Linked DNA regions of Saccharomyces cerevisiae S288C. The protein of the gene in region 3 purifies or fractionates together with the protein of the main gene of each other region. This does not show direct contact. Each region holds a gene or a part of one and is shown on either strand. Other genes may lie near its edges.

Region 1 (3,202 bases), on a different chromosome or scaffold from region 3:
TTCATCTTGTACCACGGATAGATCTCTGACAGGATCAACATTACCTTCTATATGGGTGATGTCTTCCTTTAAGAATCCTCTCACCACTTGAAATATCCCCTCTACGTGTCTGATATCGTTTAAGAACTTGTTACCCAAACCATGGCCTTGAGATGCGCCTCTGGTGAGCCCAGCAATATCATATATTGTGAGTGTTCCAGGTACGCATTTCGCACTCTGATATATTCTCAATAAATTAGAGAGCGGCACGCTAGGTATATTGACTTTGGCACATTCTGCGTCAATGGTAGCGAATGGATAATTTGCAGGATTTCCCAATTTTGAGTTTGTTATTGCTTGGAAAAAAGTCGATTTACCAACATTAGCAAGCCCTACTATCCCTGAAGTTGGATTATTCGATATCCTCCCAAGTAAAAATTTTCCTCCACCAATGTTCATATCCGATTATTACTTCTCTTTATTCTTTTATATCCATATGCTTCAAACTATACAATTAAATAGATGCATTAAGGTTTACAAATAAGCATATCTCATTAGATACGGATGGGAAAAATCAAGAATCATGCAATGAATTATAATGCTCACCTAATGCATAGCTGTGTTTATAGTAAACTAGCTTCAATTCAGGATTTTTCCCACATTCATTGTACACTTGAATAGGTCTTCCACTCATCAGAATGCTAATGGGGCAGTCGAAAACGTGAGAGAGAGCCAAAATCTCAATTTCACCACCCCATTGAGCTGTATGCTCCATCTCTTTCGTATACTCATCAATGTCTTTCATCTTCATAGTTTCTTCATCAAACAAATATGGAATGAAATCATCCCTGTGCTCCTGTACGTAATTACAACTCAACCATCTCAGCTTCATGACATCCATGTCTTGATCCAGTTTTTTTGGATCATGGCGTAATTTTAACTGATCTAATATAGATGCAAAGAGACAGTGGCCATCGGGTTGTATATCGAATTGTTTCAGTTTCTTCAACTCGCATAACTGATCTATAGACTCCTGCTCCATTTTTTTCAAGTCCGGTTGTTTGGATGCTTCTAAAGCAGCCTCTTCTTTCATTTTAGCAATTGCTGCATCTCTTTTGGCCAATCTTTCCTTTTGTCTATTGCGACGCTTCTTTGTCTGGCCTTGTTGCTGTTGTTGAACGGGAACATTCTGTTGTTCTTTCTCATCTCGAGATATGGATAGTTGTTCTAAAAGTTTTTCAGGAGTCACTTCATCTTCTTGTTCTGCGTCAAACACTTCATTATTTGCAATTTTCCAATCCCTTATTTCATTTTCTTGCTTAGTCTTTAGTTTATCTTGAAGATCTAGGCATTTCGAATTAACTTCTTTCCTTTTGGATTTAGTAGCCTGCTTTTTCATACCCGTTATCTTATTCTGTAAATCTTTATTTTCCTTGCGATGTCTCGCCAAAATATCTTCCATGTTTTCCAAATTCTCTCCTGATTCCATGCCGGTCATGATGAATATCTCTTGTTCTCTCTACTAGATTGAATGCTGTGCTTTAGTTGGATTTTGTATTAGATGCTTTCGAGATGCCCAAACTAAAAACAAGGCGTGAAGAAAAAGAAATTTCGCGACGCATAATAATACTTTCTTTGACAGGGCCAGGGCTGCCAACTTTTCAGATTTTAACAATTGAGAAATTTATTGTGGTAAGAAAACCATAAATTTCCACTCTGTTGGAATTAAAATTTCCTGTATTGAACGAGAGTAGAAGCACACAATTTTCTTGAAGAAAAAGTAGTTAGTCTTCCATAATGTTCAATGGCCTTATCACACAAAAAAAAAAGAATGAAAGTACTATCAGCTTATAAGTCCTGATTAATTAAAAAAAGAATGCAGGAATAGCACCTTATAGTAAAAAAAGTAAATTTAAGTAATTAAATATAACTATACTGTAACTTTTTTGAATTGTATTTTCCCTGGCATTTACAATCTTTTTGTAACCTGGAATTTAACGATAACTGACACAAGTGATTCTTGATAATAAAAAAAAAAAGGAAAAATATTTCACTGTTCTACATAGTATATACAAGATCAATGACGGTTTTCTCTGGAGTAAATAAAATAGAGTTTGAAGGTACTTTCGAAGGTATTGGAAAGGATGTTGTTATGTCACAAATGATAAGGGCCTTGCAGAAACATTTTCCTTCGATACGTGACAAGAATTATGAGTTTAGCCTATTTTTGCACATTTTTCAAAGATATGTCTTAGAAAATACTTCAATCACCCATGATCTAGTTTGTGACAAAATTAGATTACCGATAATTGATGAAGTGGTTGAACTCGATGATATTAAAAATTACGGTTTGTTAGAGGGTAAACTATTATCAAAGTTAGCTATTTTAAAATTAACCGGAAAGGCTAATCCAATCATTGGTAAAGAAAGCCCTTTATTCGAAGTAAAAAATGGGATGTCTTCATTGGATGTAATAGTTCGACAAACGCAAAATTTGAATGTACGATATAATTCAGACGTTCCTCTTATATTTATGACCTCGCTTGAAACTGAATCTCAAGTATCAAACTTCCTTGAAGAGCATTATTCTTCTAGCAAAGTGAGATGGAAAACCGTAGTTCAGTCAAGCTTTCCACAAATTGATAAAGATAGATTATTACCTATCGATTTACAAATAAATTCTCATGAAAATGATTTTTGGTATCCTTGCGGGACTGGTAACCTAACTGACACTTTGTATTTTTCAGGAGAATTGGACAAATTAATTGCTCAAGGAAAAGAGATTTTATTTGTTTCAAATGTTGACAATTTGGGCGCTACAGGAGATTTGAACATTTTAAATTTCATCATAAATGAAAAAATCGAGTATCTTGTTGAAGTAGTTGAAAGGACTGCAAATGTTTCAAACACTGGAGTGTTGGCAACATATAAAGGTAAACTACGATCGGTTTATTACAACTGCTTATCCAATGAAAGTGCAAGCACGTGTCGAATTGTCAACACTAATAACATTTGGATTGATTTGAAAAAGCTAAAGGTGCTAATAGAGTCTAATAGTTTAAATTTGCCAATTCATTCTAGTGAAAGTAAAATAACACACAAAAATGAAGAGATAGAGTGTCTTCAATTTAAGACACAGTTGGTCGATTGTATTGCCTTCTTTCCGAACAGTCGAGTATTGAAAGTATCAAGAGACAGATTTTTACCCCTAAGAACATGTAAG
Region 2 (6,665 bases), on a different chromosome or scaffold from region 3:
GATTTATGTCTTTTCTTAACGGTGTATAGTAATTTTCTAGCAACGAAAATGATGTTGGTAAACAATTGTACTAGTATTTGATAAATTTTTCAGAGGCTTACCAACATTAATGAGATATAAACAGATGTATATTGCAGAATAAAAAAGATGTAGCAATATGCATGCGTAAAGATTAATCAAGTTAAACTGGATGGTGTTCGTATCCTGTATTTCCTTGTTGTTGTATTATCGACGGAGGGTTGGCCGAGTGGTCTAAGGCGGCAGACTTAAGATCTGTTGGACGGTTGTCCGCGCGAGTTCGAACCTCGCATCCTTCAGTATTTTTTTTTTATTTTGACGGCGCCACAAAATTTTTAAAATATGGCAAAGACAATGTGCTATGTAGTTTACGGGATTCTAGCCCTGATTCAGCAAAGAGAAAAACACGCAGTCGCAATAATCTCTTAGATTTTTGTTAGTGTTTTATACTTTGACACTTCTATATGTTAAAAAAATTCCTTTTCGAAAATGAAGATGATAATTATTATACAGGGACTACAGTAGGAACTGATTACTATTGTTCGGAAGCTATAATTTTTTCAACAATTTTTAGAGTTTTATCAGCACCAGAATTATCAATTTGAGATTTTTTAGCATAATCGGGACTTTCTAACTTTTTCCTTATGGCCTCATCAAGTTGTGTTCTCAGTTCCTTGATTAAAACACCATTCTTACACCAGGTTCTAATTGGGAGCCAGTTGTCGACAACGATGCCCGGTGAATGAATAGTACCTCCAATGTCATAAGAGATTGCCCCTCCGAATAATAGTAATGATAATGTAGTAGTTGGGGTTAAGTCCCTCAAATACAACTTATTAGTAACTTGAGACGTGGTAAACAAAACAAATGGGTATTTTACAACGGTTGGTATTTTGGATTGACGGGATATTGGACCATCCACCTCAGAGAGTAACTTAGCGTCTTCCAAGTTTACTGAATTGGTTGAAAATAAGACTGAACTTGGATGAATGAATGCCCTAGTAGCAGGTAACGGTAAATCTTCCAAATCAACCTTTTGCGTCTCTTGCGAAATTTTCGTCTTATATTCTTCTAATTTGTCCTGATACTCTTCGCTTCGAATCCAGTATTTGATCATTTTGGCTTCAGGATCTTTTTCAACAGCACCGGAACTTGTTGATAGATACTTTACATCTGGTAGTTGCACCCTGGCTATGTGTGGATAAAACGCACCCGTGAGAATGGCCCTTAGGATATCAAAATTTCGCTCGTTCCTATTCAAATCAGAAATGCTTCCAACTTTATAGTCCATTGGTAGAAAGCCTACATCTTTCAAAATAGAATAATATTGGGCTGTTGATGACTTAATTTCATTAATTTTATTATAGGAAAGTAAATTGTCTCTCAAATATTTCCTTTTGATGCTCGAATCTTTGATTTTGAAGTAATCTCTGACAATTTCCAATACTGCAAATAAATCCCCACGACTTTCATATTTACATAGCAGTTTTTTTATCTTTTCCCTATTTTCAAAACCTCCGATGAAAGGCAAAACTCCAATACCGAGTATCGAGACAAGTAAAACAGAAATGTCCGTACAGCCAAACAGAATGCCGTATATTAGTAATTTACCATGCTTACTATCCATGACAGGCATCAGGCTAATAAATTGACCTAGCTGTGTGAGTGACTTGTCGGACTCATCAACAAGTCCTATCGTTGTTAATATTCTTTCTGCCTTTTGCAGAGCTGGTAAAGGAGGGGCATCCAAAGCTGTGCTCAAAAACGCTTTAACGTCCTTTATACCCATAGCCTTAACAGATAAATAAAGGGATTCCAACGGGATTCTTTTGATTTCTGGAATTGGCATTGATATCATGTCGTTTTCGTATAAATTTTTAGAAAATAATTTGTAAGATAAACCTTCACGTACTCTACCAGCACGACCTCTACGTTGTTTAACTTCAGCTTTTGAAATAAACGACTCAATTAGTTTTGTAGTATTATCCTTTGGATTATAGAACATCGATTTGGCACGGCCTGTGTCAATAGTTGCAACACAGTCATCTATAGTAATAGATGTTTCAGCAATATTTGTGGATACAACAACTTTCCTTTTCCCATGATATTTTTTGAACACCCTTTTTTGGTCTTCAGGAGTTAGAGCGGAGTGCAAGGGTAGAACCATAAAATCTGCTTCATTTGATTTATTAGCTAGCAAATTGCAGCACTTATTAATCTCTCCCACACCAGGCAAAAAAACGATAATAGATCCGTTGTCATTAGCAGCTTTCAGGCGTTTATGTACATATTCAACCACTTGACAAAGCAAATCATAATTGATTTGCCCAGATGTAAAAAACTTAGAATCTGCTCTCGGCTTCAAATATTGGTCGTCATTATTTCTTTCATCAACGCTATCATCATCATAAGACAAAGCCTTCTCTCTCTTGATCTTGAAGTCAAGGTCACTAAGAATGTCTTCCAAGAAGTAATCAGTGATGGGGAAAGTGCGTCCTTCTATGTGACATGTTGCTAGCCCCGGAAAGAATTTTTTGAACAAGTCAACGTTAACAGTAGCACTCATTAAAACAATTTTCATGCCGCGAACTCTATGTAAGAGATTTTTCATCAATGTCACTATCAAGTCAGTATCAATAGAACGTTCATGAACTTCATCAATAACAACAATTGTGTTTTCTAACATAGTTCTAGCATTCTGTAACAACCTAACAAGAACACCTGTGGTCATGAACTTGATACGTGTGGAAGCTTTGGTTTTATTGACACCTCTTATTACGTAACCTACCTCTTCCCCACAAGTTACACAGCGTTCATCAGAAACACGTTCAGCAAGCCCAATAGCCGAGATTCTTCTGGGTTGCGTACATACGATTTTAGTCTTACCGAAATCTCCTTTTTCCTTCTGTAAGAAATCTAGTATAAACTGAACGACCTGAGTGGATTTACCCGAACCTGTTTCACCAGTAATCAATACAACTTCGTTTTTATTGATGATATCTATAATAACCTTTTGCTTCTTCCAGGCAGGCAGTTGTTCTCTAACTAACTGCATACTTTTGTATTCAGAACTTTTGATCCTTTTTGTGTACTCTTCCCTTAGGACAGAGAGCGTGTCTTCAGAAATGGTGGTTTTTGTGAATTTTCTCGAACTAGAATTATTTATACTTCTCTTACCGTTTGAAATGTTTCTTTTGTTTATTGCACCTTTCGAATCTGAATCTGGAATTAATGGGCCAGGGTTGTCAATTATCTTAGATATATTCTCTTTCAACCATTCATAAATATGATATACTAACATATCGCCTATTAGATTTCCTTCCTGGAGATAATGCAGTAACCTGGTTAATATTTGTTTCTTAATATAATCAGGTAGCTTGTAATTTTTATCAAAGGTTGAAACTACAATACCAGGTAATGATGCAGGATAATTTTTGGTTCTATATACTTTCAATTTTATTTTGAGTTTTTCAATTAAATTGAGCGTGTAGTGTGAATCTTCCTTGGCGTCCATCACGCAGCCCTCATAAATGCTCTCTAGGCTCTCTAGCTCTTGGTTCCAACATTCTATAGATTCAGTTTCTGATACAGGTTCATTCGTATTGCTATTTAAAGTTGGTAAAATTTCCCTCGTCAAGAACCCGGCCGCTTCATTTTCATTCATATCGTTTTGTTGTAAAGCCAATAAGGCTTCATCTGAAGAGACACCAATTTCTGTTAAACGCTCAACGATCATTCTAGTTGATAACGGTAGGTTTGTTATTTCAACCTTGTTTTTTGTATCACCTTTCTTTTTATGAAAAAATGGTGGTAAATCATCTTCCGGTAAGTTAAACAATAAGAAAGACAATGGATCTTTATAAAGCATGGCTTCCTCTACGTGTTTTGGTCTAAATTGTAGAGTTAATAATTTTGCCTTGAGATCTTCCCGATTTTCAGCAATTGTCTCATTTTTATGGCTAATTTTTTTAGCTTGCCAATCAATTTTCTCTTTCAATGAAGTTTCTATCAGTTGTCTAGACGATTCATCAAGGTCAACAAATATAGAATTTTCCCAAACCTTTTTTGGAAACCGCACTAATGAAGGATTATGTGAGTTTTTATGAGATGCTACTTTTCTCTCTTGCCTGTCCTTTCCAGAAGAAGAAATTCCACCATGGCTAGATAAAATGGTTCGTGCAACTTGTTCTTTCTGTGCTTGATTATTCTGGGCCACTTGTTCTTTTTCACGTTGGGCTTTGAGCTTTCTGTCTTCCACCATTGTCTTGAAGGGATCAAGATCAAATAGTTTGTTTATACGCTTTTCGTCTGTTTTCAGGTTATCTTTTCGAAAATCGTCGAGGGCATACCATGTTTTTCTATGGTTTGGCGGAAGCATCATGTGCAGGTTGGTGTTGTATGCAATGCGATATAGCGCAATAGTGGAGGCCATGTGTCTAGCTTCAATTGGAGTTTCTTGAGGAATTACAAGGCCTTTTCCTGAAGCTTTGTCATAGGTTGGATCGTTCATTCTTGCAGTCAATGTTTCTTTTGTCTTTGGGTCAGTGAATGACAAAACTGCAATTGCAATGAAACCTTTATCACCGATTTTCTTCATATCATACTCTACCTTATTCCATTTTCGTTTCTGACATGTTTCGTGTAAGATTGTATGAGGCAATTTACCTGTCCAGCTTGCTGTGGATGTCACTTTTGCTCTATTACTTTGTTGCTTGGCCCTTTTGTCATCTTCTGGCTCTGGTTCTTGTCCCTTTTTTCCTTTTGCTTTCTTTTTGCCAGCAGTTGTTGGTACATCATTCACTGGAGTTGAACTTTTTGAGTTATTTTTCGTTTTTTTGGCCATTTATCAAAAATTAATGAAAGCAATTGCGATGTAAAGTATAAAGTGAATGATTATTGTTAATACTTCCCTTAGCTAAGAGTCTCTTTTACAACTTTGAATAGTATGTATCTTTTTAGTGTATAATTTTTCAACTCATCGAACACCGAGACGGTTAACCGGCAACGCAATATTGTTCTCAAAGCATAAGGATGAAAATTTCGATTGGACAGGTTTAAAACAAGTACTTCAACGAATATTCCACCCTTTTTCAAATTGCGTTTCCAAAACAGGCTGTTTCTTAATTCGGGGCGTTAAAAGAATAATAATTTGAGCAAGAAACTGGTGAAAAAATTATGGCGAACTCATTAGACAGACTGAGAGAACACTTAAAGAACGGCGATAAACTGGTTCTAAAAAATAATGAGGGACAGTCTACTGATGATATTACGAAAGCAACCATGGTAGAAACTCTATCCAGTGATGGTAGTACCCAAGATAGTTTTCCATTGAATGAAGAAACGGAAATTGAGATTGATGGTTCATTGGTACAGTTACGAATAATTGTTCATTGTTGGATGAATAAGGACTCAAGTGCCGCAGACTATCTAGCAGACTGTCAGAATAAACAATTGACTAATGTTTCATTTTTACAAAGAACTGATTTAATAAATTGGTTGTCTGGCAATACGGAATCATCCCAATATCTGAAAGCACCCGGTCAGAAAGGCGAGACATCCGATAAAGTAGATATAGAAAATAAAACTTTGGCTGGTGAATTGTCGACTGTAAAATCAACCACTTCAGCATCTCTTGAAAATGATAGTGAAGTTTCCGATCCAGTTGTGGTGGAAACAATGAAACATGAACGTATATTGGTGGACCACAACTCTGCATTGCGTGGTGCTAAGCCGATCAACTTTGGTTATCTAATAAAAGATGCAGAACTAAAATTAGTACAGTCGATCAAAGGATCTTTACGAGGATCTAAATTGCCTCCCGGTCATAAGGGCGCGCACGGTCGTATTTCCAAAACAAATGGTTCATCAGGTGGCCCTCGCAAAGATCCAATTATTTTGATTCCTTCGGCTGCGTCATCAATTTTAACTGTTGCAAATATAAAACAGTTCCTGCTGGAGTCAAAATACGTGAATCCTCGTAACTTACCGTCAGTGCCAAACGGATTAGTTAACATAGAGAAAAACTTCGAACGTATATCAAGACCAATTAGATTTATTATAGTCGATAACACTAGGATGTTTACTAAGCCAGAATATTGGGACAGAGTTGTCGCTATCTTCACTACTGGTCATACGTGGCAGTTTAATAACTATCAGTGGAATTCGCCACAGGAATTATTTCAACGCTGCAAAGGCTACTATTTCCACTTTGCCGGTGATTCTGTACCACAACACGTGCAGCAATGGAATGTAGAAAAGGTCGAACTTGACAAAAATAAAAGATTTAAGGATGTGGAAGTCGTGCGTTATTTCTGGCATAGTTTAGAAAAGGAACTTATTTCAAGAGGATACCGTTGAATACGATAAACGGAAGAATGGTATTTCGGCCATTGAAAGTGTTTCTTCAGTCGGCGTTTCTATTCCGATTTTGTACTCTATGTTATGTGTTATTATTGGCATTTCAAGTAACGAAGTGAAGTTTAGCCGCGCGTTTATATGTAAACTATTTATTTGGGAGAATGTAGTATTACGAGCAGGTAATCAAACCATGCATTTATTACTTATATATGCGAGGGCCAATAAGAGTTTTTATAGTAGTAAATCCCACTCAGTTGCTTGTCTATCAGTAAATCGCCTTCATCGACACA
Region 3 (2,919 bases):
TTATGCTCTCCATTATCGAACTCCACGAATACAAATGGAATATGTGATGCGCACATACCAAAATCGGGGTCATCTTTATTGGAAGAAGTTCTCCATCCGAAGAAACCTTGCCTGCTAGCCTTAGAGGAGAATAGTGTTCCTAGCGGGGGTTTTTTTGATAATTTGTACCTTGAGAGTTCCATGGACTCAAAATGTTTAGGAATGTACATTATGAAATAGATTCTTGGATTCTTCTCAGACTGGCAATTTATGTCTATAATATTAAGGGATGGTTTTCGGCGAATATGCAGAATCTTCGGTTCTAGGACCAGTTATATACCATCCTAATTAAAATCAGAGGACATAATAGAGATAGTTTCAAATCTGGTTAAGCGTTAAAAGATCAGCATACAAAGTGATGCCACAAAATACCTTCTTAAAGGGGCGTGAGGCAAAAGCAAAGTCACATCATATAGCACCTACCAATAAAAAAGTGTATTACACAAAGGTATATTCCGTATCTGAGTTGTATATAAGTAGCCAAATTTGCACTTATCTAAAAGACGCCTTCGCTGCCGTCATAGTTGAAGAACTTTCCATTATCTTCTGGTAAAATTTTTCGGAAGACATCAATTAGCGCAGAGGCACTTTCTTCTGGTGTGATAATATTTACGCCGCTGATGTCTATATTCTTCTCTTTAAAATGATCAAGGCCATATTGGCCCATATCAGTAGATACCATACCTGGGTGAAAAGCAACGACAGTAAAACCCTCCGGTTTCAATTCAAAACTGAGCGTCTTTACCGCATAATTCAAGGCAGCTTTCGATTGACCATAAGCGGAAACAGAAAGTGGTACAAACGCATTGATAGATCCTGCAACACTAGAGATAAAGAATATCTTCCTCGTCTTTTTCAAAAGAAGCAGTGGATAAACTTTTTGAAGGGCTAGTATCGGACCCAGAGCGTTTGTGCTATAATGGTTGAGCCAGACTGATTTGGGAGTTTCCAGGACCTTGTAATAAGAATCAGATACTGCAGAACATGCGATAAAAATATCAATACCCAAGAAGAATGGCGTTTTCTTGATCTCGTCCGCAATATTGCCAATACTTTCGTCCTTTGTAAGGTCAAGTTGGACAATATGGATATTCTTCCTGATTTTTGCTAAATCTTCCACTTGTTTGTTCTTGGGTAATGAAGGTGATCCACGAATAGAGGTTATAACTGTATTGCCCGTAGAAGCGCTTAAAATTTTGACCAAATTAAAACCAATTCCACGGCTACCACCGATGATAAAGTAAGTTATTCTTGATGAAGTATTCATATCGACTTTGTTTGCTTAGAATTCTACTGATTTATGCCACTGGTAAAGGCTTTATTCTTAAAAACGTCAAAAATTAGTTTTGAAGCATCGCCGCCTATTTATTATAACTGGTATACTATCTTACTTATTAGTACTACCATTTATACCGCTATGCATTACTAATCACATTACTAATCTCATTACTAATCTCATTACTAATCTCATTGCTAATCTCATTACTAATCTCATTACAAATAACTTTCTATTGAGGTATTTCTAGGGAATTGCGAAGTTGGTTTGCTTTTTATGAGACCCGCGGACGTTAATCGAAGATATAATCCACGGAAAAATTATATGTCCTGCAATTTGTGCACAGTATATTAATCGGGAACATATATGATTAGATTATTGCAAGTCATGCAAGCTAAAGTAAAACAAGCAATATCAGGAGCTCATAGATATATCATGCACACATCAGGTAGAAGATAGGAAATTATAGAAGATCTGAAGAAATTAGAAGAACTAAGCTCGACTAGCCTAATAGGAAAATGGTGTCCCTTATTTAACCTGAGAAACCAATATTTCGTAGTATCTTCTTTTTTTCTTCCATGGTAATGAGTCCAACAAACTTTGAGCTTCTAAAAAATATAAACTCCAAATGAACCTGATCAGGACAAATGTTCTCTAGGGTAGTTAGATACAAAACCTTTCGGATGAGGGATTTCTTATCCTAGCTATTTAATGAAGCAAAATAAAGCTGTTTCAAAAAGCTTAAGTGTTTGTACTTTTTTTTACCAGGTTAAAGAAACAGGAATAATTATTCGTAGAATTGCAAAATTTTTTATTGACGTACTTGTTTCTATTTTTTGAATAGTCAGTTCTTCGGAAGGCATTCAATAAGAGCCCAATATAAGGGTAAGGTGCACTTTTATACAAGCTGGCCAAAAAAACCGGGAAATGGCAAAAGTTCGAACTATTGTTTCATAGGTACTATTAAATCCTTTCATTTGGTAAAGAAAGGTGCTTGAATGACTTTGCAGACTATTTCTGTTTCCTACCGAATAAATTAGGTGCGCTTTAACGCGCAGTGATGTGTAGATCAATTGAAATGGGGAACTTGCTTATTGAATACAGGATTAAAGAGGAAATGGTACGGTACATTTTTGGATTTTGCCATAACTCACGATAAACTGTGGATGGCTGCATCAAAAGATGGAGAGTTGCTAGATGACCGTCACGTCTGCGTAGTCTCTTCACAACATGTTTTATTGACTTGGTTGATGCTATTGTAGTGATTAAAGAGAACGAGAGATAACGCAAATCAAAATTTTATGTTGTGACATTTGGAAATTGAAGGAATACTTATCTTCGAAAAGCCGGAGCAATGCTTTTACCTCGCTAGAAATAGCATGTCATGTAACATGGTAATGTTAGCTTTATAAATAACCGCGCTATTTAGTAGGCTACTACAATTAACTCCCAGACTTCAAATTAGTCAGAAATGTAATACAATGTTGTGTAACGTTAGTCATATGTTATAATTTGTATTCTCGCAGTAGAGGTAATTCACGATCTTAGGATTTGCGCATGTTTATGATCATAATGTCAAAATAAACTACGTAATGCGTAATTTT

What was found.
Region 1: the proteins of OSI1 (region 3) and OTU2 purify together in Saccharomyces cerevisiae (affinity purification with mass spectrometry, with the first as the bait; one large-scale study listed by BioGRID). This does not show direct contact.
Region 2: the proteins of OSI1 (region 3) and YLR419W purify together in Saccharomyces cerevisiae (affinity purification with mass spectrometry, with the first as the bait; one large-scale study listed by BioGRID). This does not show direct contact.

Annotation. Positions count from the first base shown.
Region 1 is NC_001140.6:76,877-80,078, forward strand, and holds OTU2 (deubiquitinase OTU2), read right to left. Parts: upstream 1,478-3,202; coding exon 554-1,477; downstream 1-553. Other genes in the region: YLF2 (Ylf2p), read right to left, coding at 1-438; YHL012W (UTP--glucose-1-phosphate uridylyltransferase), read left to right, coding at 2,060-3,202.
Region 2 is NC_001144.5:956,624-963,288, reverse strand, and holds YLR419W (RNA helicase), read right to left. Parts: upstream 4,862-6,665; coding exon 554-4,861; downstream 1-553. Other genes in the region: CDC73 (Cdc73p), read left to right, coding at 5,194-6,375; ESCRT-II subunit protein VPS36, read right to left, coding at 6,579-6,665. UniProt on the Saccharomyces cerevisiae protein: Probable ATP-binding RNA helicase.
Region 3 is NC_001143.9:303,501-306,419, reverse strand, and holds OSI1 (Osi1p), read right to left. Parts: upstream 1,307-2,919; coding exon 536-1,306; downstream 1-535. Other genes in the region: YKL070W (uncharacterized protein), read right to left, coding at 1-209.